3 linked regions of the Caenorhabditis elegans genome follow. The protein of the gene in region 1 purifies or fractionates together with the protein of each later gene. This does not show direct contact. Each region holds a gene or a part of one and is shown in the gene's direction. Other genes may lie near its edges.

What was found.
Region 2: the proteins of lonp-1 (region 1) and art-1 purify together in Caenorhabditis elegans (affinity purification with mass spectrometry, with the first as the bait; one large-scale study listed by BioGRID). This does not show direct contact.
Region 3: the proteins of lonp-1 (region 1) and C47B2.2 fractionate together in Caenorhabditis elegans (co-fractionation; one large-scale study listed by BioGRID). This does not show direct contact.

The regions. Positions count from the first base shown.
Region 1 is NC_003279.8:10,676,383-10,684,278, reverse strand, and holds lonp-1 (Lon protease homolog, mitochondrial), read left to right. Parts: upstream 1-1,904; 5' UTR 1,905-1,906; coding exon 1,907-2,128; intron 2,129-2,180; coding exon 2,181-2,282; intron 2,283-2,331; coding exon 2,332-2,423; intron 2,424-2,753; coding exon 2,754-3,203; intron 3,204-3,863; coding exon 3,864-4,026; intron 4,027-4,079; coding exon 4,080-4,393; intron 4,394-5,003; coding exon 5,004-5,256; intron 5,257-5,311; coding exon 5,312-5,580; intron 5,581-5,631; coding exon 5,632-5,890; intron 5,891-6,282; coding exon 6,283-6,522; intron 6,523-6,568; coding exon 6,569-6,811; intron 6,812-6,860; coding exon 6,861-7,025; intron 7,026-7,072; coding exon 7,073-7,216; 3' UTR 7,217-7,357; downstream 7,358-7,896. Other genes in the region: sdha-2 (Succinate dehydrogenase [ubiquinone] flavoprotein subunit, mitochondrial), read left to right, coding at 1-218, 262-451, 503-901; spcs-1 (Signal peptidase complex subunit 1), read left to right, coding at 1,239-1,334, 1,391-1,546, 1,592-1,657; ttc-1 (TPR_REGION domain-containing protein), read left to right, coding at 7,476-7,601. UniProt on the Caenorhabditis elegans protein: ATP-dependent serine protease that mediates the selective degradation of misfolded, unassembled or oxidatively damaged polypeptides as well as certain short-lived regulatory proteins in the mitochondrial matrix.
Region 2 is NC_003280.10:6,970,210-6,974,229, reverse strand, and holds art-1 (putative very-long-chain enoyl-CoA reductase art-1), read left to right. Parts: upstream 1-1,994; 5' UTR 1,995-1,995; coding exon 1,996-2,113; intron 2,114-2,157; coding exon 2,158-2,388; intron 2,389-2,432; coding exon 2,433-2,572; intron 2,573-2,862; coding exon 2,863-3,172; intron 3,173-3,226; coding exon 3,227-3,354; 3' UTR 3,355-3,485; downstream 3,486-4,020. Other genes in the region: sod-1 (Superoxide dismutase [Cu-Zn]), read left to right, coding at 350-397, 729-812, 856-1,014, 1,059-1,212, 1,257-1,354; C15F1.5 (RING-type domain-containing protein), read left to right, coding at 3,645-3,701, 3,749-3,877. UniProt on the Caenorhabditis elegans protein: Catalyzes the last of the four reactions of the long-chain fatty acids elongation cycle. This endoplasmic reticulum-bound enzymatic process, allows the addition of 2 carbons to the chain of long- and very long-chain fatty acids/VLCFAs per cycle.
Region 3 is NC_003279.8:12,961,507-12,966,497, reverse strand, and holds C47B2.2 (Phosphoribosyltransferase domain-containing protein), read left to right. Parts: upstream 1-1,918; 5' UTR 1,919-1,927; coding exon 1,928-2,094; intron 2,095-2,681; coding exon 2,682-2,923; intron 2,924-3,449; coding exon 3,450-3,531; intron 3,532-3,842; coding exon 3,843-4,047; 3' UTR 4,048-4,456; downstream 4,457-4,991. Other genes in the region: tba-2 (Tubulin alpha-2 chain), read left to right, coding at 235-927, 978-1,498, 1,552-1,684.

The DNA.
Region 1 (7,896 bases):
CCGATTCCAGTCATTCCAACTGTTCACTACAACATGGGAGGAGTTCCTACGAATTACAAGGGACAAGTTCTCGATTTCACACCTGAAGGAGGAGATAAAGTGATTCCAGGACTCTATGCCGCTGGTGAATGTGCAGCACATTCAGTTCATGGAGCAAATCGTCTCGGAGCAAATTCCCTTCTAGATTTGGTTATCTTTGGAAGATCTTGCGCTCTCACGTTAGTTTCATTTATCTGAACAGGTTTAAACTAAAGATTTCAGTATCCTTAATGAGAACAAACCAGGAGATTCAATCCCGGAGCTTCCGGTAAATTGTGAAGAGAAATCGTGTGACAATTTGAACGGACTTTTGCACTCAAAAGGAGATATTTCATCTATCGAATTAAGACAAAAGATGCAAATGACAATGCAGAAACATGCTGCTGTTTTCAGACGGGGCGATCTTTTGAAGGTAAGTAAATACAGATTTATTCTATTTTCAAAAAATATTGGATATTTTCAGGAAGGAGTCGATAAAATGTCCTCCATCTACAAAGAGCAACAAAATTTGAAGGCGTGTGCCGACTCTGGAAAAGTATGGAATTCGGAGCTTGTCGAAACTCTCGAGCTTCAGAATTTGCTTATCAACGCCAATCAAACCATCGTCGCCGCCGAAAATCGCACTGAATCTCGTGGAGCCCACGCTCGTGATGATTTCCAAGAAAGAATTGACGAATATGACTACAGCAATCCACTTGAGGGACAGCAGAAAAAACCGTTTGATCAGCACTGGCGCAAGCATTCCATCATCGGTATCGATACGAAAACTGGAGCTGTTGATTTGACATACCGCCCAGTTATCGACAAAACTCTCGATAAATCTGAAACCGACTGGGTTCCACCAAAGGTCCGATCGTATTAATTCGTTGTTTTGTTCTTCTTTGTTCACATAATTGTGTTCGAGCTGTATGTTTTTTTCTTTTGTGTGAAATTTATTTGTTTCCTGATTAGAATAAAGTTTATTGAATTTAATAATATATCAATTTAAGCTTATTTAAGATTTATTTCTGGTTTTCAATCCACAAATATTTGCAAATGTTCTTCAAAATATGAAATGTGCAAGTGCGCTCCATGGAAAATCTCTATTTTACGTCATTGTATGAAGGAGTGTTGGAACAAAATTATTCCGAATTCGTTTTGCTTTAATCTTTTTGTATTTTTATAACTGAATTTGATTTTTAATTATTACATAATTAACCATGGACGGAATGATTGCAATGCTCCCTGCTCCACTGCAGAAACTATCGTCGCATATTGATTTTCAAGGACAGAAAGTCGCCGAGAGAACTTACCAGGTAACAAACCACAATTGATTGACTGAAATTACATAAAATAAAGCAATAAAATTTAGGTAATCCTCACTATTGCTGGAATTATTGGCTTCCTCGTTGGATTCTGGACTCAACAGCTTTCATATGCCATGTTCACAGTGCTGGGAGCATCTGCGTTCACAGCTCTCATCATTCTTCCACCATGGCCATTCCTCTTCAGAAAGAACCCGATTGTGGTGAGAAAAAGTTACAGAAATCGTATAAAATGTTTTAATTTTCAGTGGCACACACCTGCGGAACCACAAGAATCTGGAGACAAGAAAAAGGAGACAAAGAAGACGAAATAAATCGGCAATGATGCAAAAACTAAAGAAAAACGTTTTACTCGGGATCTGGTCAAATATTTATTTTAAATTAAATTATTTATGAGCTCTTCTTCATTTTTCTGTGTGATATAAGAATCATCTTCTGAACCATAATAAATTCATTTTCAATCTACAACGATTTTAATATTTTATTGACGTTTTAATGCGACACATTTTACTTTTTTATTCTGAAGTCTTGAATCCTCCTATCCTACTCCCCGTTCAACAGAAATGTACCGCGCTGGAGCGGTTTTACTCCGCGGGGCAACTCGCACGCGGCTTCTTGCCGCTGCTTCAGCACATCAAAGCTTTGCCACATTTTCTCAAAGAAATCAATCGATTTTAATGATGAAATCTATGGAATTAGCAGGAAATTCAGGAGAAAGGAGGTTTTATTCCACTCATGACGATCCAATCGCTGTGGATGACTCATTGGAACTGTACAAAGATTTGGTAAGTTTTTTAGAATTTCAGTCATTAAAAGACGATTTTAATTGATTTTCAGGGAGGAATGTCACCGATTCAAGTGCCAGCCGATATGCCAAATGTCCCAATGTTAGCTATCAATCGATATCCACTATTTCCAGGATTTATCAAGAAAGTTGATGTGAGATTAGATAACGTATTTGGCGGAAAACTGAAAATTAAAATTTCAGATCGTGAAAGATGACAATTTAAAAGCACTGATCAGGCGACAGCTTTCACTGAAACAGCCGTATGCTGGAGTTTTTGTGAAGAGAGACGATGAGTATGTAGTTTTTGAATGGATCTCTTCTTGACTTAAAAATGGAACAATCGCCGAAAAACTAGTCATGTGTTGATATACGGAGCTCGTGTACTCCCCGAGGAAATGCTTTTACAGTTTTTGCCTGATATTTTTGATTTGGAACCATTTTTGTTATTGGAATCATCAAATAACAGAAAAAAATCAATCTTCTATATACCGACTATAACTTCTAAAAAATTTATACACTTTTTCAAAATTGTTTTGTATTTTTTTCAATTTTGCAACAAAAAATGGATTAAAATTGCTGAATTATTTTTGAATTCCCGCGCAAATTAGTATATTTTTTTCCAGAAACAAAGAAGAAACGATCACATCTCTATCAGAAGTCTACCCAACTGGTTCTTTCGTTCAAATTATCGAAGTCCGTGATCAGGGAAGTGTTCTTGAGCTGGTACTCAGTGCTCATCGAAGAATTCGTGCTCTTGAACCAATTGACGAAATTACACCGAAAAATGAGACTCCATTGAATGGAAGACGTGCTCGTGGAAAGCGTGCAGCATCAGCAACATCACCACTCACTCCACCACCATCACCACCTCCACTTGCACCTTCAGTGGCTTCAGTGGCTCCAGAAATTTCAGCAACAGAAGAGAAAGAAGAGAAGACAACACCACCATCAGCAACTGGAGAAAAACAGAAAAAAGGAATTATTATGGTTCGAACCGAGAATGTTGTTGCAGAGCCAGTGCCCAAGAATAATGAAACGAAGGCTACGATGATGGCCATTGTGCAGACGATTCGGTAATATCAAGTTGCGATTATTTAGCCATTTGTACCTCAATATTACGATACCCGGTCTCGACACGACAAACTTATTGTAATCTAAAAAGGATATATCCCTTTGAAGAGTACTGTAACTTCAAATATTCGTTGCTCGGAAATTTTCATCGATTATCATAAATTCTCGTTGAAAATTATATACATAAGATTAAAAAAAAATCGCAAAGTTCGAAAATAAAATCTGTGTCATTACATTTATAAAAAACTTGTGTGTATTGTGTGAAAAGCTATGAGAAATCGACGAAAATTCCGAAAAAAACAATAGTTTGAAATTAAAGTAATCTTTAAAGGCGCACACTTTTTTGAATAACAGGAGAAATGCGACCGGGTACAATAAAATGTATATTAATCATTTTGAATCGAAAATACGGAAATAATCTGCAAAATGTTATGTATTTTACAATGGCCAAAAGTAAAATCGAAAAAAAAAACGAAAAAGATTGTAGTAAAATTATTGAAAAAAGGATAAAACTATAAATTCAACAAAAACTGTGTATATTTCGAGAAAAAAATATAGAAAATTTGCATTTTTTCCCCTGCAAATTGAAAAAAACCTTGATTCCGAAAGTTATTTTTTGATTTTATGAGTTTCCAATTTCCTAAATTCAAATATTATTTCAGAGATGTAGTACAATTCAATCAACTCTTCGGTCAACAAATCAATCTTCTACTTCATCCATCTCAAAATGTAATCGATAATCCAGTTTATCTATGTGATCTTGTTGCAACTCTTGTACAATCTGCAGAAACAAAAGATCTTCAGGAAATGATGGATGAAATTGATGTAAATTTAAATTTAAATTTTTTTAAATGAAAATAATTATATTATTTTTTTAGGTTTCAAAGCGACTCAAAATTGCTCTTCTTCTGATTCAAAAGGAGAAAGCAGTTGCCAAATTGAAGTATGATATCAATAAAGATGTTGAGAAGAAGGTTCAGGATCATCATAGGAAATACTTGCTCAATGAGCAATTGAAAGTAATCAAAAAGGAGTTGGGAATTGAAAAGGATGAGAAGACGACTATTATTGAGAAAATTGATGAAAGAATCAAAACATTGGCAGTTCCAGAATATGCATTGAAAGTTATTAACGAAGAAAAGACAAAGTTGCAGTTTTTGGATCCGCATTCCAGTGAATTTAGTGTCACGAGGTAGATATTGAAAATTATATTAGTTTTATAGAAAAATATATATATGCATTTAAAAGGCTAAAAATGCTCGGAAAAGTAAACTTTTTTCCAATTTTCCAATCGAATTTTTTTTCGAATTCTTTTTCCAAAAATCAAAATTTCTCCAAAAGCTTCCGGATTGTTTATGAAGTGTTCAGAAACCAGCTCCTGGATGTCGTGAAAAATTGAAATGTTTTTTTTTATCGAAAAGTTGACAATTCGACATTTCAATTTAAAAAAATTTCAATTTTCCGGAATATAAAAAAAAATAATAGTTCAGAAATTTTAAACTTTTTTATTAAAACCCCAAAAAATTGTTTAAAATTAAACGAAAACTCCAACTTTCTAAATTTCTATTATTCACTTTTGGTTAATCTATTTATTTTAATTTTCTTCAAAATGAGAACTACAGGATCGACGACCAGGAACTCCGCCCACTCCTTTTGATTGGTTCGCCGATTGGTCTTACAGTTCTCGTTTTGAAAGAAATTCAAAACTGAAAAATATCATTTTTAAGTGCATTTTTTCCTGAATGTCAGACTATTTTAAATGTTTTAAAGCAAAAAAAAAATTGAGTTCCGTTTTTTTTCAGAAACTACCTGGAATGGTTGACATCAGTACCCTGGGGACTTACATCACCCGAGAATCGTCGTCTTTCAGTTGCAAAGAAAGCTCTTGATGAAGGACATTATGGAATGAAAGATGTTAAAGAACGAATTATGGAGTTTATTGCAGTCAATTTACTTCGAAAATCAATTGGTGGAAAGATTCTATGCTTCCATGGACCACCTGGAGTTGGAAAAACTTCTATTGCGAAATCAATTGCGACTGCCTTGAATCGAGAGGTTCAGTTTTTTTTCCTAAACTTTCTCTTGTTAAAATTAAATCTAACATTTGCAGTATTTCCGTTTCTCAGTTGGTGGAATGACTGATGTGGCAGAAATCAAGGGACATCGTCGTACATATGTCGGTGCAATGCCTGGAAAAATGATTCAATGCATGAAGAAAGTGAAAACTGAGAATCCTCTTGTTCTTATCGATGAAGTCGACAAAATCGGCGGAGCTGGATTCCATGGAGATCCCGCATCGGCACTTTTGGAACTTCTTGATCCAGAACAAAATGCGAATTTTAATGATCATTTCTTGGATGTTCCAGTTGATTTGTCTAGGTTTGAAGATGCTTCTCCTCTTGGTTCTATAATTTTATTTCTAATTTTCAGAGTTTTGTTCATTTGCACGGCAAACGAGATTTCAAAAATCCCGGGACCACTTCGTGATCGAATGGAAATGATTGATGTTAGCGGTTATTTAGCCGAGGAAAAAGTTGAAATTGCTCATCAACATCTCATTCCTCAACTCAGAAAAGACACATCTCTCGCCACAGAACAACTGAAAATTGAAGATTCTGCGTTGGAAGAGCTCATTAAGCATTACTGTCGTGAATCTGGAGTCAGAAATTTACAGCAACATATTGAAAGAGTATGTTTTGGTAAAAACAGGACGATCCGCGAGACCCGAAGAACTCGGGGGATGTCCAATTGGGGGGATTACCAACTCGGGGGATTGGCCCCGCCCACATAACCGTGGCTTGCAATACGCCCATTTCTGCAACTGCCGCACGGTTTTAAAACTGTATTTTTCTCAATAGAGCGAGAATTAACAAGAAAAAATAATTTTTAAACCGTGCGGCAGTTGCAGAAATGGGCGTATTGCAAGCCACGGTTCTGTGGGCGGGGCCAATCCCCCGAGTTGGTAATCCCCCAATTGGACATCCCCCGAGTTCTTCGGGTCTCAGATCCGCGCCTCGAGTTGATTGTTCTGTTTCGACAATTATATTTAGATTGCTTATAGAAATTACCTTTTTTTTCCAGATTTTCCGTAAAGCAGCTCTTCAAATTGCTGAACAACAAAACGAGGATGAGGAGCCAGCCGAAAAAGCAACAACTGCTATCACTGAAAACTCAGAAGCCGAACCAATCACCTCTACATCATCTGCAGATTGTTTAAAATCTTCAGCCGAACAAATTGTAGTTTGCACAGAAAACTTGCAAAAGTTCGTTGGAAGACCCAAATTCACATCAGATCGAATGTATGAAGTAACACCGCCTGGAGTAAGCGAAAAAACTGTTTTAAAAACTTAATTCACGTTCCGTTCAGGTGATAATGGGTCTCGCATGGACAGCAATGGGTGGATCTGCACTTTATATTGAAACTGTATTGAAACGACCTGTTGATTTGACAAATGATAAGGATGGAAGTATTGAAACAACTGGAAATTTAGGAGATGTAATGAAAGAAAGTGTTCGAACAGCGTTGACTGTTGCAAAAGGAATTCTTGCAAGAGAGCAACCCGATAACAAATTCTTCGATAAAGCACATATTCATATTCATGTACCCGAAGTGAGCTTAATCTTGAAATAATTTCAACTAACCAATTCCATTTTTCTAGGGAGCAACACCAAAAGACGGACCATCTGCAGGAGTAACTCTTGTCTCAAGTCTTCTTTCACTCGCTTTAGACCGACCTGTTGTGCAGGACATGGCGATGACTGGTGAAATTTCATTAACCGGAAAAGTGCTGCCAGTTGGTGGAATTCGGGAAAAAGTGATCGCGGTGGGTCCTCTGTTCTTTTTTCGTTCAAAAATTTCATTTTTTTTCAGGCTCGCCGTGTCGGAGCAAAACGAGTCTTCCTTCCAAATGAGAATCGTCGAGACTTTGATGATTTACCAGAATTCATGAAATCAGAGTTGGATATTCGATTCGTTTCGCATTATGATGAGCTCTACGAGCATCTCTTCCAATAATACGTGTCCCTTTCTTTCACCCCCAGTTAATACCTTTCAGATAGATTTTGTTGATTCACCTAATCCATTTTTTCTTGTTTTGTTATTTTAAAAACGTTTTGAAAAGAAAAAAGTTCAGGCTATAAACATTTTCCTACTTTTATTTTTGTTTTTTTTTTAATTTTAATAATCTCAAGTTGTTTGATCTTTTCAAATATTTTTCATTTAAATTCTAAATAATATTCTCTTTATTTAAAAACCATTATTTTCAGCTTTAGAAATGGCAATTATCGAAGAAATTTTCGAGGATGAAGAGGATCAGATAACAAAAGTGGATTCATTGAAAAAAGAAGGAAATAATTTCTTTGCGAATGGAGAATTCGAAAAGGCGAATGAAAAATATCAGGTATTGGAATGTTTTGCAAACGTGCGGCGCGGTTTGAAGCTTGTCGATTTACGCAGGATTTTGTACTACACGTGGACAAGTATTAATTCAATTTTCATATAATTTTATAGTAAAGAAAACAATAATTTGAAAAACAAAAATTTTGATTTTTAAAAATATCGAAAAATTACAAACAAGAATTTTAGCTGAAAACTACACAATCATCTCAAAAAAAATCCCCACTTGTCCGAGTGTAGTACAAAATTCTTCGTAAATCTACATGCATACAACGCGCCGCAGACTTGCAAAATTAACG
Region 2 (4,020 bases), on another chromosome or scaffold:
CAGCATATTTGACGCGCATTGCTCGTCAAGTTTGATGCGTGCACACTATTTTGCTGTTGTTTTTTTCTTTTTTCTCTAAATTTTCTTTACGCTTTCGTAGTTTCTATAGAAACGATTCTCCACTCCCGGTTTTCTTCCGATTCTCAAAATTAATTAAAATTTAGTTATTAAAAATCCTTTTTCTTGAAATAATCGTTCAATTTCGAGTTTTCAAGAGTGGAGACGTTGAATTTGTGAGCCGCTTATTTTTTCTGTGTTTTTGTTTTGTGGTTTTTAATCAGTGTCATAATCATACTTTCCATTGTTTCTTTATTATTCAAAGTTGTAGATTCAGTATTTTAGATCGGTGATGTTTATGAATCTTCTCACTCAGGTCTCCAACGCGATTTTTCCGCAGGTCAGTGCTTATCCGAAACATTCGTCATTCGCAACTTGGGCCTATTTGATCTATGGCGTTGTGTTGTTGCCTTTACCTTAATTATCATCATTTTCATCAGAAACCCACAAAAACTAGAGACATAGCTACAAAATTCTGCGACCGAGAGGCGGGTACACACACAATGTTGTCTATTTCATCTCGCTCCACCTTCTCTCTCTCTCTCTCGTGTTTACCATTTCTTTTTTAATTTTGCATCTATCGACTGTGATCTGCCTGTTTTTTTCTAATTCTAAACTTTTTGCCGTGATATTCCTTAGAGTGTTCCCTAGAAAATTCGTTGAATTTACAGGTCGAAGCCGCTCAAAAAATGTCGAACCGTGCTGTCGCTGTTCTTCGTGGAGAAACTGTTACCGGTACTATCTGGATCACACAGGTTAGCCGAGTTTTCCGCTTAAATCATTTGTATTCTTTTTCAGAAGTCCGAAAATGACCAGGCAGTTATTGAAGGAGAAATCAAGGGACTTACTCCCGGTCTTCATGGATTCCACGTTCACCAATATGGTGATTCCACCAACGGATGCATTTCTGCCGGTCCACACTTCAATCCATTTGGAAAGACTCATGGTGGACCAAAAGTATGGAAATTTTTTATATCGCTTGAATTATAATATTTTTTCAGTCCGAGATCCGTCACGTAGGCGATCTAGGAAATGTGGAAGCTGGAGCCGATGGAGTGGCAAAAATCAAGCTCACCGACACGCTCGTCACGCTTTACGGTCCAAACACTGTCGTTGGCCGATCTATGGTTGTTCATGCCGGACAAGACGACCTCGGTATGAACAATTCGAATTAAAAATCAATTTAGTAAACTTTCCAGGCGAGGGAGTCGGAGACAAGGCAGAAGAGTCCAAGAAGACTGGAAACGCCGGAGCTCGTGCTGCCTGCGGTGTCATTGCTCTCGCTGCTCCCCAGTGACTACCTGAATCGCGTCTCTGAATCTCCACACAATTCCTACTAAAGACAATTTTTCATTTCTTGCTTTGTCGTTATATTCTTAAGAATCCCGTTGTTCCTACTCCTACTACTGTATATTTTCACATAAAATTTCTTCAAAATTTCAAATAAAGGTTGTAGTTTCCAATTTCTATGTTTTACAAATCTCAATGTCTCTGCTCATTATATCAATACTTCACTTTTCAGTTTTGTTACCAAACTGCCATAAATGTTGTGCCAGCCGTTAAACTATCAACAAGTTCTGACGGAGAAGGGCGATTTTTCGAGCAGTTGAATAAGAATCACCTGATAATGAGGCTATTTCAAAAAACGTTTAAATATTATCGCTTTTCCCTTATTTAAGGCAGACAAAAATCTTTGAAAATATAATAATTTCTATTTTTTAATGCATTTAGTAAATTTTATTTCGAGGTCGTTCGTTTCAATTGGCATTTTCACAATGCTTCTCTTCTTTTTTTATCAGTTCAATTGATAGCGACCCGTAAAAGAAAATCACACCATTTTTATAATAGTGGACTGCAAAAAATTCGTTTCTTTCTGAATAGAGCCAGTTTTTGTGAAAATTCCTTTTTTTCAGTTTATATAAAACCTCAATTTTCAGAATGAGTGGGATTCTGGAGGTTTATGACGCAAAGCGTACGGACAATCTCATCATCACCCTCGAGGGAATTTCTGGATCCGAAACGATCAAAGCTATCAAGAAGCGAATTGCCCAGAAAAGTTTGTGAATCGAAATTTATGATTTATTAGCTAAATAATTTCAGAGCTGAAACTCACCGAAGAACGTCAGGCTCTCCGTGTCGAACCAAAGGGTAAACCATTGGCTGATGACCAAAAACTCTCCGATCTTGGACTTTCATCTCAAAAAGCAGTTTTATATGTAAGAGATCTCGGACCACAAATCGCCTGGAAGACTGTCTTCATGGCTGAGTATGCTGGACCTTTGTTCGTTTATCCGCTTTTCTATCTTCGACCAACTTTCATTTATGGACAAGGTGAGCCGGATTAATATTATTTCACACAATATCTTACATTACAGCCGCTGTCAATGCTACCATGCATCCAGCAGTACAAATCGCCTTCTTTGCATGGAGCTTCCACTACGCCAAGAGATTGTTCGAAACTCAATTCATCCATAGATTCGGAAACTCGACTATGCCACAGTTCAATTTAGTCAAGGCATGTTTCAAAAATAAAAATAAAAACAATTGAGTAAAAAGTAATAAGGGACACTAATAGTAAGTTGCAAAAGTTGCGTTGATGAAAAAATTATTTTACGCTCTACGGCAATTTTCAATCTGAAATATAGCAACAAAAAAAAACTAGTAAAAACGTTGAATATGCCTAAAATTCAAAGTTAGAATATTTCGTACAACTTTAGGTAGTTTTAGTAGAGAATTTTGAAACGGACAAGATTAAAAATAAAATTCACTAATCGATAAACAAATTTCTATTTCCTGAATTTTCAGAACTGCTCCTATTACTGGGGATTCGCTGCCTTCGTCGCCTACTTTGTCAATCACCCACTTTTCACACCACCAGCTTTCGGAGATCTTCAGGTTTATTTCGGACTTGCCGGTTTCGTGATTTCGGAGTTTGGAAATCTCTCGATCCACATTCTTCTCCGCAACCTCCGTCCAGCTGGAACCCGCGAACGTCGTATTCCAAAGCCTGATGGAAATCCACTTTCTCTCCTCTTCAACTACGTTTCGTGCCCGAACTACACATATGAGGTCGCATCATGGATCTTCTTCTCCATTATGGTCCAATCTCTTCCAGGTAAATAAAAAACTTGTAAATATAATTGATTTTATTCATAATCTTAAAATTTAGCAATCATCTTCACCACCGCTGGATTCGCTCAAATGGCAATCTGGGCCCAAGGAAAGCACCGCAACTACCTCAAGGAGTTCCCAGATTACCCAAAAAATCGCAAGGCCATCGTTCCATTTGTTCTCTAAATTATCGCATTTGCGCCGAATATTTATTGTATTTTTCATGTACTCTTGCAGTTCTATTATTACCAATCCGCTTATTTCAATCAGTAATTTATTAAATAGACAATTTCTCCAGATAAATGTTTGCTTGAAAAATGTTGCAAGTCTTGGTTGGTGAAAAAAAAGCGTTAATAAAAGAGAAAAAATGTTTAAATAAAAATAACGTGATATTGTTTTTTACATCGAAAATTTAAAATGTTCCCGACTTCAATGTAGAAAGAAGATTATTTCGAAATATTTCAAGTTATCCAAAGATGTCAATTTGGTGTGCAGTTTGCAATGATTTAAAACCATGTGAAGAAGCAACTCAAGTGAGATTATTGCATTATTCTCAGCCATACGGATTCAAATTTTCCAGTTGATTCCCTGTTTGCACACATTCTGCACAAAATGCCTCAAAAAATCAACCAAAAAGATGCGTGTCTGTCCAGTTGCACATTGTTACTCGAGTCTTACAGCTCCTGAACCAATGACAAGCACTTGCGAAGTTAGTAATTACAAAGATTCGAACTTTTATGACTTTTCCGCCAAAGATACGGTCTCGAAACGGCAATTTCGTTAATTTCAAGTTGGTGCGCGTCTTTGAAGGGTACTGTAGTCTTGTGAACTCTCGTTGCCACGGAATTTGAA
Region 3 (4,991 bases), 2.3 Mb from region 1:
TTTCAATCCGCTCTCCACTGGCGCCCCGCTATTTCGTCATCATTTTTTTGCAATCGATGACTTGTCCACCGCGGTGTCCGATGTTGGGCTATGTTGAGAGAGCGCGCGCGCTCGTGCGTTCTCGGCCCTATTTGGGCTCACTTTCGTCTCTGCTCTCACCGCAATCGTTTCGTTCTCATATAACAATTGTCTTTCTCTTTTAAAACTTTATAATTTTCTTTTTCAGAAAAGAAAATGCGTGAGGTCATCTCTATCCACGTCGGACAAGCCGGAGTCCAAATCGGAAACGCCTGCTGGGAGCTCTACTGCCTCGAGCACGGAATCCAGCCCGATGGAACCATGCCAACTCAATCAACGAACGAGGGAGAGTCGTTCACCACTTTCTTCTCAGACACCGGATCCGGCCGTTACGTTCCAAGATCCATCTTCGTCGATCTCGAGCCAACTGTCGTTGACGAGATTCGCACTGGAACCTACAAGAAGCTCTTCCATCCAGAGCAGATGATCACCGGAAAGGAAGACGCCGCTAACAACTACGCTCGTGGACACTACACCGTCGGAAAGGAGCTCATCGACACCGTCCTCGACAGGATCCGTCGTCTCGCTGATAACTGCAGTGGACTCCAAGGATTCTTCGTCTTCCACTCCTTCGGAGGAGGTACCGGATCCGGATTCACTTCGCTTCTTATGGAACGTCTTTCCGTCGACTACGGAAAGAAGTCCAAGCTCGAGTTCTCCATCTACCCAGCTCCACAGGTCTCAACCGCCGTCGTTGAGCCATACAACTCGATCCTCACCACCCATACCACCTTGGAGCACTCCGACTGCGCCTTCATGGTCGATAACGAGGCCATCTACGACATCTGCCGCAGAAACTTGGATGTTGAGCGACCAAGCTACACCAACCTCAACAGAATCATCTCCCAGGTTTGTTGAGCTCAATTTGATTGTTGTATTCTAATGTTCTCTTTTTACAGGTTGTCTCCTCAATCACTGCTTCCTTGAGATTCGATGGAGCCCTCAACGTTGATCTCAACGAGTTCCAGACCAACTTGGTGCCATACCCAAGAATTCACTTCCCATTGGCCGCCTACACTCCACTCATCTCTGCTGAGAAGGCCTACCACGAGGCTCTGTCCGTCAGCGACATCACCAATAGCTGCTTCGAGCCGGCTAACCAGATGGTCAAGTGTGATCCACGTCACGGAAAGTACATGGCTGTGTGCCTCTTGTACAGAGGAGACGTCGTTCCAAAGGACGTTAACACCGCCATCGCTGCAATCAAGACCAAGAGAACCATCCAATTCGTCGATTGGTGCCCAACCGGATTCAAGGTCGGAATCAACTACCAGCCACCAACTGTTGTGCCAGGAGGTGATCTTGCCAAGGTGCCACGCGCCGTCTGCATGCTCTCCAACACTACCGCCATCGCTGAGGCCTGGTCTCGTCTCGACTACAAGTTCGACTTGATGTACGCCAAGCGTGCCTTCGTCCACTGGTATGTTGCCCGTTAAACTATACTTTTCAAATATTCAATGTGTTTCTTTTCAGGTACGTCGGAGAAGGTATGGAGGAAGGAGAGTTCACCGAGGCTCGTGAGGACTTGGCTGCTCTCGAGAAGGACTACGAAGAGGTCGGAGCTGACTCCAACGAGGGAGGAGAAGAGGAGGGAGAGGAGTACTAGATGCTCCCACAATCAACTGCCTGGCGATTGACTTTTAATTTATTACTGCAGTTCGATCGTCATAAACAATGTATTATGAAGTATTTTATTTATATAATGTTTTTTGTTAAAAAGAGAAAGAATGAAAGTCGGAACACTTTACGTTTATACCGAGTTGAGTGCCGCAGAGCAAACATGTACAAGCCGACAGTATTTGAGCAGCAGACGCTTGTTCTGCTCATCGATCAGTATTAGATTACAGAAATGGCTGGGCATGTGAATGGAACATGTGCTCCAGTGATTCCAAAGGTTGGTGATGAGGAAGACGGTGTCGGGCAGTTGGTGGCAAATCTGAAAGAGAAGGGAACAAATTTTGTTCTTTTGAAGAAGACTCCACAGATACTTGAATTGCAGACAATTTTGAAAGATAGGTATGAAGTTTGACTGGGAATAGACTGAAGCCTCAAACATTTTATGGGTGAAAATTTAAAGAAAGGGGCTGAAAACTCATATTTCCAAGCTCTTTTTCCAGATTTTGCGGAAAAATTAACGATTTTCGGTATTTTTGCCGGAAAAACTTGTTGATTTTAAATAAACTCCTTTTTTGCCTTAAAAAGCGATTTTCTTGGAATTTAGATTTTAAAAATCCGTTAATTCACAAATTTTCGGGTCAGAAACGGCATTTTAAGCGATTTTGCCAGTAAATTAGGAGAAAAATAGAAAACGTTTTCATTTTTTGGCCTTTTTGCCGTGAAATTAACTGAAATTTTGATTAAAAAACGTTTTTTTTTGTTAGAAAACATGAATATATTTATTTATATAAATGAATTTTTCAAGGATTTTCTCGGATTTTGAGTCAAAATTCCGATATTTTCATAAATTTCCGGGTCCGAAACGGTATTTTTCGTGATTTCCTCGCAATTTTAGAAGTTTTCCTTGTAAAAATTGGTTGAGGCTCAGAGAATCTTGTAGTTTGTAGTTTGTAGCCCCATAGCCTCAACCATCTTCCAATTTCCAGATCAACAAATCACTCGGATTTCGTATTCAACGCGGATCGTCTGATGCGGCTTGTAATTGAAGAATGTCTCAATCATCTTCCATTCACTGAGCACACAGTTACCACACCAACAGGCTTCAAATATGAAGGAATTCAATTTAATCGTGGAAATTGTGGAGTATCGTTGTGTAGAAGTGGAGAGGCGATGGAAGTTTCATTGAGACAGTGTTGTCGGTGTATTCGAATTGGAAAAATTCTGATTGGTACGGGAAATTGAGGATATCGAGAGGAATTTGGGAAATTTCCTAGAAAAGGCGAAGAAAATTGAGAAATATAGAAGAAAATGGCGAAAAATCACCAAAATCATTGCGATTTTCATCAATTTCTCCCTGAAATTACCTGGAATCTCTTATAAATGCAGATTTCTGCTTGAAAAATGGAAAAATCTGGTGAATATCCAGTTTTTATAGATTTTCTCCTGAATACCCCTCAAAATCTGTGAAAAGTCTGACTTTTCCTTCAAAAATACCTCTAATTCGTAGAGAAACTCGTTTTTTCAGCCGAAAAATGTTTTTTTTTTTAAATCTGTAATAAATATGTACTGTTCTTATGGTAAAATTCCTGAAAAATATATTAAAAATATATATAATAGTAAAATTTGCGTTTTTACCCAGAAAAGTGGTAGAAATCGTGAGTTTTACTGAGTTTGTCGAAAACTGGCGATACTTTTTTAAAAGAAAAACCTCAAAACTCGCAAAATTTCCAATTTTCATCCACTTTTTGTTACAGGCGACGAACAAAAAGTGCTCTACGCCAGGCTTCTTCCGGATATCACGTCGCGTCGAGTTCTACTGCTCTACCCAACGATAGGGTACGCTCAGAGACTACAAACTACAAAAAATATCTGGCCGAAATAAATTTGATTGAAAAATCTGAGAAAAAAAACACAAAATTTAATGTCAAAAAATCGATTTTCCCGGCGAAAAATCGTAAAATTCAATAATTTGTTTGACGTAGAAACTTTAAAAATGTCGATCACTAAAACTTCCCCAGAAGGCGAAAAATTGTCTAAAAAATTGAGTTTTTTTTTGTGCAAAAAAAATCTTTTTTTGAAATTTTTTTAACTGAAGAAACATTTAAATTTAAAAAATCACATTTTTATCAAAATTTCCAATTTTTCAGATCTGGGACGACAGTTTGCAAGGCAATTGAAGTCCTAAAAGAGGCACGTGTCCCAGATGAGAATATCTACTTGGTTTCCCTATTCATCTCACCGACTGGACTCAAGAATATAACCAGAAAGTACCCGTATATCACTGTCGTCGCCTCCGATATCACATCTCTCTATCCAAATCATTTCTCAACCAGCTATTTTGGTGCTGTCTAGACTAGTTTTGTGTAGTTTGTAGCCTTTTGACACTACAAACTACATCGTTTCCGTTTCAAATGCAGTATTTTTATTCACTTTTCTCACTTGATCATCTCTTCATTTCTCGTTATTGGTTTGTAGTTTGTAGTTATTGTAGTCTTCTTTTTTACTTTTTCACTGTTGATTTCCCCTATTTTTTTTTGACAAAATGTTCATTGAATTTCCGCATAACTAAATTCTTTTGTGTTGTTTTCGGTTCATTAAACATTATTTTAAGATGCAATGACTACGGTAGTCATTTTCTGAGTACATGGTGTGCGTACAGGGCGCTATATTTTACGCGCAAAGTTGAGAGTGAGATTTTTCCTCATTTTTTGGATTTTCACTGCAAATTTAAGAAATTTTACGAAAATAAACGTTTTATTTCAAATTCTATTTGCTACTTTGCATGCAAATTGTTTTTTTTTCATTATATTCTGAAAATAAAATAAGTTAAAATTAGCCGTTTCAAAAAAAGTTTCCGAAACTACGGTAGTTCTCGGAGTACGCAACTTGCGTACCGGGCATCTCATTTGACGCACAGAATTCCTAGTTTATTGTTTTTGGATTTTCAAAATTTCAAACATAGTTTTTGCATTTTTCCTGTCGTTTTTGTGATTTTTATTTGTGAAAATTTATTAGACAGAAAAGAAATTTTCAGTTTTCACGAAATTTACTGGAAAATTTGTTATTTTACCGTTAGGTAACGTATTTTACAAAGATATTTCACTTTATCCGTATTTTCTTATTGTTTTCTTCACTTCAAACGATTGAAAACTGAATCAATCAAATAAATTTCCTATTTTTCAGGTAATTTGTCAAAATGACTGGCTCATCTCGTGGAATTGTCGAAATGACAAAGAAACTGGATCGATTAAATTGTTAGTGTTAAAATGAAATTTGCATCGGATTCAGTTTAAAAT